Linked DNA regions of Canis lupus familiaris. The main gene of each other region encodes a partner of the protein of the gene in region 2 in a complex. Links are inferred from orthologs where the notes say so. Each region holds a gene or a part of one and is shown on either strand. Other genes may lie near its edges.

Region 1 (5,639 bases), on a different chromosome or scaffold from region 2:
TGGCAGTGTGTCATGTGTGCAAATTTATCTCAAATTTTCACATTTCCATCCTCTGTTCATTCTAGTATGCTTTCTAGAAAAGAATACCTAAAAGGACACTTGAAACTTTCTCCTCATACAAAACAGTTAAGGTTTTAAAAATTTCAGTAGGAAACCACTAGAGGTAAGCTGGAAATAAATGATCAAAGTGGGCAAATATGACTATCCTATAAAAACATTTATTTAATAATTATCTAGTAACCACTGGTAAAATAACATTTTCTGTGGAACTAACAATTTAACTCAGAAAAACAAAACTAAAGTTTAGTATGTGGCAGTATCTTTTTAAAATCCTAGTACTACATTTTTTATGTTAAATTTAACTTTCTTATATTCAAATGTCATGAACTGGATAGAGTTCTTTTTTATTTTTTTTAATCCATAATAGAAACATGAATATGATGTTGGACAGAACTTCGGTCTGTAAATGAGGTAAAATGGGCTCTAGTTTGCTTTCTTTGGCAAGTAGCCTCCTTTGAGTCTCAGTGTTCTCACAACAGAATTGTGCATTCTAGGAGAGCTATTGCATTATTCCTAAAATTCTGTGTTTCCAACCACTTCACAACTTTTCAAATTCCTCCGGTGAAAACATAGGATATCAATAGAATTAAGTTCGTAATATGTCAAAATCAAATACATATGAAGACTCCAGGGAAGGATCTCAAATGCTGATTGAAAATATCTGAGGTGTGAAGCAAGGACGGCTGCGAAGTGCACAGATTTGTTACAAAGCCTTAAGGATCACTATGATCCATGATTATTATATAAAACCGGATAATATCTCAGTGATCATTCACTAAGCTTGCTTTTCTTGCCATCAGATTAAAAATTATACCCGGATTTGCATAGGTGTGTAATGCATTTACGACAAGATGGACTGATTATTCTGTCCCTCTCATTGCCACACCCTCACCTCCTATCCCCAGATGAGCTCGCGAAGCTCAAGGTTTTTTTGAGAGCAGAGATCGCCTTCTCGATGTCAAGTTTTTCTTTCAATTCCATATACGGTCAAGTTTTCCACGCAGGAAGGTTCATCGCTAATTGTTTGACAACTGGTATATCGGATTATGCACCCCCCGGGCAGTGATACTTTTGTCTGTTGTATAGACCGTATTTCATTTTTATCAAATCTTCAGGAAATAACCCTTCTTTCTCCAGAGCCTCGCAACGACTGGTAGGTACCTGTTTGCGTGAATGAAGCAGACGGAGAATATCAATATTCATTTGTGTAACGATCAGTTACGGAGGAAAGTACATTCCAGCCTCAGGACTTCTGACAGCCCTTTGCTGAAGTCACACTTGACTTCTTCCCTCCGGGCAAGTTTACTGCTCGTGAAATTCCTAGAAAGGCGAGGGGGGAGGACCGGGGACCCAGAAAGGAGCCGGGGTTCGGGACGTTACCGGGCTCAAGGGGCTTTAAAGGTTCTGTCTCGGAGGAGTTCGGAAAGCCGGCGATCCGGGCGGTCCGGGCCCCGAGAGAGCGCGCCCCGCGGCCCGGGCTCCGAGCCTCGCGCAGCCAAGGGCACGACCGCGCAACCTGCCGCAGGGGCGGCTCCGAGGCCGAGCCCGAGCCCGAGCCCGAGCCCGAGCCCGCGGGGCGCGCCCTCGCCCCCCCCCACCGGGAACGCGCAGGGCGGGGCGGGGCTGGGCCGGGCCGGGGGCGGGGCCGGGCCGGGGGCGGGGCGGGGCCGGGGGCGGGGCCGGGGCCGCCCCGCGGGTCACAATCTAGGGTTAGGGCGGCCGGCGGGCGGGGCTCGGCGGGGGCGGAGCCGCCGGGCGGGGGCGGTGCCGGCGGGTGGGGGAGGGGAGGGGAGGTGGAGCCGGGCAGCGAGGAGAAGAGCGCCATTCCGGCCCGCCGCTCCCTCCGTCCGCTGCCCCTTCCCCGCGGTGGCCCGCGAGGCGCCGGCCAGGGAGCGCGCGCGTGACGCGGCCCGGCTTGCTCGCCCCCCACCCCCGCGCCCCCCGCCCCGCCGCCCCCGCGCGCCCCCGCCCATGGCCCCGGCCGCGGCGCAGCAGCCGCGCTGAGGCGGGCCGCGCGGAGTCGTGGGGCTGCCGCCGTGGCCCTCGCCGTCCGCGCCTCGCCGCCAGCCCGCGGTGCCCGCGCACGCCGGCCGCCATCGCCTTCGCGCCTGGCTGGCGGGGGCGCTGTCCTCCCCGGCGGTCCGCGCCGCTCCCCGGAGCTCGGCGGAGCGCGGCTGCCAGGGCCGGCGGAGGCGCGAGGACCCGCCCGCCGCCGCCCGAGTCGCCGCCGGCGCCGCGGGGGCCATGACCGTGGAGCAGAACGTGCTGCAGCAGAGCGCGGCGCAGAAGGTGAGGCGAGCCCGGAGCCCGGAGCCCGGAGCCCGGAGCACGGAGCACGGAGCACGGAGCCCGGAGCCGGCGCGGCCGGGCCCCGCTCCTCCCCGCTCCTCCCCGCTCCCGGCCTCCCCCTGCGCCGCCCCGGGCTTGCCCGCCCGCGCCTTCGGGGCGTCGCGCCCAGCGTGGGGAGTGGGGGGACCTACCTGGTGGGTCTCGGCCCGCTTCCGTCTTGCCGATCGCTCTCCTGCAGCCGACAGTGCCCGCTGCGTACTGGGAGCGACCCTCACGTTGCTACACTCCTTACGGGGCTTCGGAATTAAACTTTATTCACCTCCTTCCTTTTTTGAAAAAAAAAAAAAAAAAAAAAAAGGCAGCCGGTTGTCATCCTTCCTGAACACTATCTTATGTCGAAGGTGGGAGCCTTCCAGGCCTGCTATTTTGCAGACGGGATCGCTACCAGAATGGAGTTGCCTGCTTGGCGGGGCAGGTACGGTTACCAGGTGGACTCTTGTGTTAGAAAGTAGACGATTTGGTTTGTTCTTCTTTTCCCTTTTTTCTCTTTCTTTCTTTCTTTTCTTTTTTTTTTTTTTCTTTCTCTCTGAACATACACCCTGCCCCTTCGAAAGGAGACCTTTCTGGCCATGTTTATTCCAGGGATCTTTTGTCTGCTAAGTTTGACCTTATTCCATCCTTCACCCTTGACTCTTGCCTCAGTCACACATTCAAATGGCCACGTAAGTAAAAAAATAAAATAAAATAAAAAAATCTGTGTGCAGCTTCAGATCTTTGACATTCATTTTATTGGAGATTTGGTTTCCAGAATCTCAAGTGCATTATCATGGCTTGCACCCTATCTTGAAGTGTTGGCTATGACTTTTTTTTTTTGGCATTCTGTGAAAAGCATTTTGGGCAAAAGGAAAACATTGCTTTAGTCGTGTTGAAATTTGGGGAGTCACTAGGGGTTTACTGGGAGCAGCAACCAAAGCTGTGTTTGGCTTATCTGAGCGAGTAATGAATGCCCCACCCTGTGGTAGTTTTGGCGTAGTTTGTATCCTACCTGTGCTTGATTTCAGAACGAGGCCTGCTGTCCTAGAGGGGACGGTCTGTCTACTCACTGCTAAGTTTTTGCTTTGAGATTATTTTTAGAATTCTAGATAGTACTTGAGGTAATTGAAGATGCTCAAGAATTTTGGAAAGCAAGGATAGTGCATTGTTATTTTAGGCACTTTGGGAAAGTTGTCTTTGGAACTCTTGTGTAAGTTAACTGCTCCTGGCAAATTCAGAAGGTTGTTGCAGACTGCGATTTATTTGCAGTGAAAGGATTCTAGGTTTACTAATGGGAGTTTAGAATAGTTTATTATCTACTCCTTGTATTCTATTTTGAATATCTTAAACTTTAGTTTTTGATGTTAAGTATGTGATAAAGTGTTAATACTTAGAGCAGGATCTTGTGTTCATATGTATGCTAAGCAGGATTTAATAGGTTTGGTATCGTTTTTTGTTTATAGCTCTCTTCACAGTGTTGAATATTAAAGCCTGATTATTGTTTGAAAGTGGGAAATGTGGCTCCTACTTTTCACGTCTTTTAAGCCTGAGCAATGGTAAGAAGTTTGTGAGGGTTTTTTTTTTTTTTTTTTAAAGTTGACTTTTTCTAGCGTCGAATCAGATAATGCAGATCTGCCTGGTTCAGAGGTTTATGCATAAAATCGTAGGTTCTCGAATCAAATTACTAAAGATGATCTTGGCCATCAAATCCAGTTTCCCAGCTTCATGAGTCCCCTCCTTACACAAAGGGAATAGTTGTTGATCCAAAATATTACTATTATGATGCTATTGTTAGTGTATGTGTCAGATCTTTTGGGATACTGGGGAATTTTTATTGGAGCAATTTTTATTATGCATTTATTTTTATACTTCCATAATGGTATTTATGGGGTTTTTGAAAAGAAACAATGTGTTTATTTACTTTTTTGCAGTGATATACTATTTGTTACTCAGAACTGTTTAAAAATGTTTATTTAGGTATAAGTACTTTAAACCATCCATTACAGATAAATTCATAGGCTTAAATTCACCAGATTAGTAACTAGGAAGCGGACTACAAGCTAGTAACTAGGAAGTGAACTTCATACTTTAGAAGAAACAAAAGTGAAACTCTTTGTTTTCACTTAGAAACTTTATGAATTATTATACAAACAAGAAGTGTTAGTGCATTTGCATAATCAAAATTTAGCCTATTTTCTGCTCTCCTTAAAATTATGCATGTGAATGCACATATGTATTAGTTTTATGTATGTAGTTTTATTCTGGAGGTTGGAAGTTTATTATATTTTCAAGATTTTTTTTCCAGAAGGATGATTAGTAAGAATGATTTTTGACTTATTTATTTATTTATTTATTTATTTATTTATTTATTTAAGCAGCACAACACAAAGCTTTCTTTCATAGGTCTTTTGTTCACCTGCAAAGTAGCTTGCCATGGTATAAGCCAAGGGGCTGGCTTGGCTGTCTTTTCCTCTGATGTGTTCTTTGCTTGGTTGTTGAAGTTTGGTCATGGCGGGGAGTTATGAGATGTAATAAAACTGCAGAAAGCTGCTTTTCTGAGGTTTAGGTGATACAGGTTAGGTGGAGTTGGTGGCAGATTAGCTACCATTAAATCCTGTCCATAATCTTAGTCTTGAACATGTATCTTCTTCTTTTTCTTTAAGATTTTATTTATTTATTTATGCATGAGAGACACAGAGAGGCAGAGGGAGAAGCAGGCTCCCTGAGGGGAGCCGGATGTGGGACTTCATCCCAGGCCCCTGGGATCACAACCTGAGCCAAAGGTAGATACTCCACCACTGAGCCACCCAGGTGGTTTCATGAACATGTAGGTTCAACATTTGTACTTTATATTTACCTAAGTGTAGCATCCTTAGATCTCAAAAATTTGGTACCTATGTATAGCCTCAGGTCCCAAATGAGGATTCCTTAGGGCACCAATAGAAGGCTTCCTCCTAGGGATCAAACTGATGTACAGAGTGAAGTGAGCTGGGTACTATTTACATTAAACGTATCTTTCTGAGTTGGGTAAAATATAAGGTTTATAAGGCTAGGTATTTTGCCTATTTTGTTTCATTATAGAGCTTAGAATAATGGTGTCTTGCACATAATAGGTTTCAGTAAATATTTGATGAGTGAAATAATGAGTGAATGTTTTCTAAAAGGAATGCAAATGCAGTAATTTAGTTTCCTAACTGAATCTCAGGATTTAATTATTGAGAAACCATGGACTACTGTTGGAATATACGCTGTGTAGT
Region 2 (5,543 bases):
ATCCCAGGGATTGTTCCAGTTTCCTCTTTTAAAATGGCTTTTCCATGACAATCCCATTACTCGAATCCTAACCAAGAATCATCCTGTTAACTACTCACCCTACACATGGCAAAAGGTCAGACTTAACCAATTTGTTATACTCTGCACACAAATATCAAAGTATAAGAAACTGACTACAGAGTGTTATGTTTTTATACCACATATAACGCTACGCGGTATAAAGTAAAAACTAAAAAATCAGTACAAACTAAAAATTTTGTTTCTTAAAAAACCAGTTCAAAGTCAGGTTCTCATAATTACAACACCTTTACAGGACTGTGTTTTACTGTCTGTCTGGTAACTTCTCTGAGCACATGTAAAACTCTAAAACAATAAGAGAAACTATTGTGGCAAACGGGAATAAGTTGATTGGGGAGACATGCACTATTTTATGTGTGACTACCCTAAATAAGTACATTATCATAGAAATAAATAAAACTATCATCTGTTAATGATTATTTATAACATGGCATGGCGAAGAATGACAAGATTTTGATATGTGCTAAAACAGTCCAATTTGGAACAAAGTATGCAAAAGAAAACAACCTCAGTTGATCCAGTATATCAGACTTAGACCTTTCACAAGACCTAAAGAAAAAGAAATGCTACTTCATCTAAGATAGGCAACACCCCGGAGCAAATATCTAGTTATATGGAAGTCTGTTTATGATTCAATTCACTAAATCCCTAATAGGACCTATATTATCTAATATGTATCTATATGTCAAGAATGGATCCAGGAACCTAATATTGATTCCCTGTATTTCTCATGTTTGTGACCCATTAATGAACCACAGACAGCAGTTGTAAAACAAAATGAATGGAATAAGATATAAAATATAAGAAGACAGCACATGTAATAAGGGAAAGTATTATTTCTTGAAACTTTTGATTCTACTTCTGCGTGTGTGAGACGATGTAAAATAAATACCTAAGTGTGGGCTGCAATAAAAAAAAAAAAAAAAAAAAAAGTGTGAATGCTACTCAGGAGTTTCAGCTCCCAATTACTTCTTCCCCCAAAACACCGCAAAAACAGAAACTCTCCATCACAACTTCTCAAAATGAAAAGTGACTGTAGCCCAGGGAGAGGTTTTAACAGTTTAAGCTTGATTTCACGAGCTCTAAAATCAAACTGAGTTCAAATCCAGATTCCAAGACTTTCTGTGTCAATTAGGACTTACTTAAACAGTTTGTGCTTCATTTTTGTCACCTGTAAAATGAGGGTAATATTATCTTTCAAGTTGGGGGGAAAAACAAACAATACCTTAATAAGTTCTTACTATATATTTTACCATAAATAGAACAAATTAAAAGAGTGGTAGGTATGAGCAACAGCAAGAAACGTAACAGAAGGTATCTTCAGCGTGTTATCTTTGATGTTTGTGTGTGGGCCTGGTGCTTTTTCATTTTGTCTTTCTATCCTATGTGAACTGTATCATGTATATATACATACATTTTTAATGTAATGTTTATAATGTATGTAACATTACCTTCATCTTTTGGAATATAATAGTAGATATCTGGGCAGTGAGATTACAGTCCTTTTTTGAATACTTCTTTGTATTTTATAAAAACATTTTATATGGCTTTAAAAGACAAGGGTCAACTACTTGACTTAAAAAAAAAAAAAAAAGACAAAAAGTGTGTGGTCCACGATTTAGGAACTAGCGTTTTTTTTGGGGGGGGGAGAACCAATGTGCCAGGTGCTTCTCACTAAATCCTCACACAAACCTAGATATCATTTTGTCACTGAAAAAACTGAGGCAAGGGGATCCCTGGGTGGCTCAGTGGTTTAGCGCCTGCCTTTGGCCCAGGGCTGATCCTGGAGTCCCAGCATGGAGCCTGCTTCTCCCTCTGTCTGTGTCTCTGCCTCTCTCTGTGTCTCTCATGAATAAATAAATAAAATCTTAAAAAAAAAAAAAAAAAGAAGGACACTTAAAAAAAAAAAAAAGAAAACTGAGGCAATCAAGATAAGGTAAACTGTCAGGCAACTAACAAATAGGAGTGTCCAGGGCTTCAAAGCCTTTATTTCTTCCACCATCACATAACGCATCCAAATATTCCTCTCCGGTTGTTTCATACAGGCACATTTTAAATCTACCCAATTAGACTGTAAACTCCTTGAGGAAGAGAAAAAGTGTCACAGATTTCATTCATGTCTTCCATGGGCTTCGGAAAAGTAGGATAGATCCTTCAACACTTGTTGAGGTACATCAAACTTCTTTTGGTCTAGACTGTTCTCATGGGACACATACCCTTGTATATGTTGTAAAAAAAAAATAAATAAATAATAAATAAAAATAAAAATAAACGAAATAAACTAAGGAAACAAATGGCAAAACTCTTAAGACTGCCCAAATCTAACTTTATTCCTTCACACTGGGAACTGAGGAAAGTTCAAGCACACCCATACCCGGAGACTACCGCTAAGGGGGTTTGGAGACGAGTGCAAGTACCACGCGGTAGGCGAACGCTCCAAAAAGAACGGATTCACACCTTCCCCCTACCACGCCCCCGTCCTCCAGGCACTAACCTAAAGAAAGGAACCCCGAGCCCTCCCGCCAGGCGTTGGAAGAGCCACAGCCACGCCCCCGTCCCCTTCCATCGCCGCTGGCTTTCCGTCCCTACCCGGACCCCCATTCCCAAGACCGAACCCCTGAAGAAACAAAAGTCTCTGACCTGCAGCGAAGTGCAGGGGAGAAGACTTCCGGCCGGCCATGTCCTTAGCATTCACGTTTGCCGCGTCCACCAGCCTCTTGACCCGGGACACGTCCCCATTGCGACAGGCCTCCAACAGTTCCCGTAGGGCCCCGCTCACTGCTGGGACCCCTGGCCCAGGCCCCGCTGCCCCAGGCCCCAGTGTTGCTGTGGTGCTAACTCCTGCCGCCTCGGGGCTCTCCGCCAAGCTCGATCCGGGGGAGGATGGAGAGGAAGATGAGGAAGAAGTCGGGGAAGAAGAGGACGACGGTGAATTGTTACTGCCACCGCCGGCTGGGTTGGGAGCGACCCCCACGGCAGATGAAGCGGACACCGCCGGGGCCACGGGAGCGGCGGCGACGGTACAGATTGTGCTGGTGGTACTGCAACAGCTGGTACTGTCAACCGGCTCCGGGGATCGAGGCCTGTCGGGCGGATCCCGACTGCCATCCCCCTCCGGCAGCGCTAGGCCGTGCCGCGGGGAGGCGAAGGGGGCCAGGCCGCCCGCCGTTGGGGAGGCTGGGGTGGTCCCCGGGGCCAGGCCGGGGCTGAGTGGGGGGGGAGGTGGTGGCGGCGGCGCCGAAGCCCCTGGGGCGGGCTGGAGCTGTTGTTGATGATGGTGGTGATGATGCTGAGAGCGACGCGACGCCGCCATCTTCGGACTCCCCCAGCACTGTCACTGCGGCAACGGCCCCACCGCCCGCCCTCACTTCCGACCGCTAGGCCAATTAGCAGCCAGCGCACAGGAAATGATGCTTGGCGGAGTGGGCGGGGCCTAGGGGAAGGAGGGAAGTATTGGGAGCTGGGAGAGCAGCCACGGAAGGGGGCGTGGCTTGGCGGCTGGGGGGCGGGCTTTGTGACGCCTTGGCGGGCCGGCGGCGGCGATTTGAAAGTTGGAACTGACCACTCCCTGGATGGGCCGCTTTTCCTCCTTTCTCGCTCTCACCCGGCTTCCGTGGTTCAGATTGCCAGGATTGGAATTCAAGCTCTCTGATTTCCTAGCTGTGCCAATTTGGGCAAACTGTTGAAACACTCTGCGTCTCACCTTCTCCTCTGCAAAACAGCGAACAGATCAATAATCGTTAACTATTAAAATTATAATTTTTCCGGGATCCCTGGGTGACGCAGCGGTTTGGCGCCTGCCTTTGGCCTGGAGACCCGGGATCGAATCCCACGTCGGGCTCCCGGTGCATGGAGCCTGCTTCTCCCTCTGCCTGTGTCTCTGCCTCTCTCTCTCTCTCTGTGTGACTATGATAAATAAATAAAAAATTTTAAAAAACATTAAAAATAAATAAATAAATAAAAATAAAAAATTATAATTTTTCCTATTTTTATCTCTGTACTTTTATTTCTCACCTTAAGTTTGACTCAAATAATTATGAATATGTTCCTTTTGAATTCTTTTCAGCTGGACTTCTCCAATGCTCCTACCTCAATTCTCTCTCTCTCCCAAAATAAGATAAAAACCTCACTACTCTCCATCACTTACCTTCAGTTGCCATTCTTCAGCAACTACTTTTTCTCTCTTTCCTCTGCCTGTCTCTAATGCCATCAAAAAAAAAAAAAAAAGATTTCTCAGTGCATGGGATAATCTCTGTGATCTCCATTCCCTCCTATTTTTTTTTTTAGATTTTATTTATTTATTCATTAACACACACACCCACACACACACAAGCAGAGGGAGAAGCAGGCTCCATGTAGGGAGCCTGATGAGGGATTCAATCCCAGGACTCCAGGATCAAGTCCTGGGTCAAAGGCAGGCGCTAAACCGCTGAGCCACCCAGGGATCCCTGGACTCCTATTTAATAGTAAACTAGTCATTGTGGAAGTTTAGACAAACAGCATTATTCCGATAGAGGGCTTATAGATGGACACCGTCTTAAGAAAGAACAAGGTTTACGTGGGTCAAGTAGAAATTTGTCTCTGCAGAATATTAAACCGGGTGATAAATCGTTCTTTTAGAAATTCATTTTAATATAATTTTACTGTGATGTTAATATTCTCAGCTAAATAAATAGGTAGGTTTATTTAATAAGACTACTATCTACATAAAACAAGGTCAGAAACATAATATTGAGAGACATTTGTTATCTGAGGTTATAGATTATAACTGAACAGTATTCATCTGTTTCATAAATTTGTGCCTATTGTTCACAAATACGTCGCCAGATAGGAAAACTCCATCAAAACAAGTAAAATCTGTCATAATGCACATTCTCCTGGTTTTGAATCTTAAACTAATGCGCAACAGAGGGTAGCATTGAAAAGTGGGGTTTATCAACATAAGACATTAGATGCCACTAACTCACCTTGTGCCCCCCTTGACTGTGGCCTTCTCCCTGAATCGGAGGCGTAAGGAATATCCCACATGGTCCCCTTATGGCCAATTACTCGTAGATCATGAGAAGTAGTCATGTTTACCCTAATTCAAATGCATCTACTGTGTCTGTTTATAAATACAAATAAATAAGAAAATTTCTGCTGGATAAAGATAAAAAGGCCAAACTGCCAGAAACCAACCATTCTACTGGTAAACTATGTCTGAAAATGCATTCGATCAATTGGAAATTGCTTTTTCCCCCTCCAGTGGAAAGTAGTAAATGTACTTAACATTAAGTATTTATAAGGTTTAGGTTTATATGAACTAATACTGAGCTCTAAACAGGAAAGGGCAGATATCATTACCTAATCTTTTACAGCTAAACACAATTCCATGAGGGATGCACTGTACTCTAATGAAAAGAGCAAAGCTTGAAGTCAAATGGGTTTGAATCACATCTCTGACGATTGCTTGTTGGTTAATCTTG

What was found. The genes of interacting proteins can lie anywhere in the genome.
Region 1: the proteins of TNKS (region 2) and USP25 are in contact, whole or in part, in a crystal structure (PDB 5GP7), measured with the Homo sapiens proteins. The link is inferred for Canis lupus familiaris from reciprocal best matches to the Homo sapiens genes TNKS and USP25. Residues at the interface, in NP_003738.2 of Homo sapiens: Arg836, Ser838, His842, Leu843, Gly846, Tyr847, Leu871, Asn876, Ser879, Tyr880, His882, Asp900, Trp902, Phe904, Glu909, Gln912, Lys913, Gln934, Glu935; in NP_037528.3 of Homo sapiens: Ser1046, Ser1048, Arg1049, Thr1050, Pro1051, Ala1052, Asp1053, Gly1054, Arg1055.

The regions. Positions count from the first base shown.
Region 1 is NC_049252.1:12,987,637-12,993,275, forward strand, and holds the start of USP25 (ubiquitin carboxyl-terminal hydrolase 25), read left to right. Parts: upstream 1-2,230; 5' UTR 2,231-2,304; coding exon 2,305-2,349; intron 2,350-2,540; exon of another isoform or gene 2,541-2,644; intron 2,645-2,763; exon of another isoform or gene 2,764-2,824; intron 2,825-5,639. UniProt on the Homo sapiens protein: Deubiquitinating enzyme that hydrolyzes ubiquitin moieties conjugated to substrates and thus, functions in various biological processes including inflammation and immune response.
Region 2 is NC_049237.1:35,853,671-35,859,213, forward strand, and holds the start of TNKS (poly [ADP-ribose] polymerase tankyrase-1), read right to left. Parts: upstream 3,426-5,543; 5' UTR 3,392-3,425; coding exon 2,719-3,391; intron 1-2,718.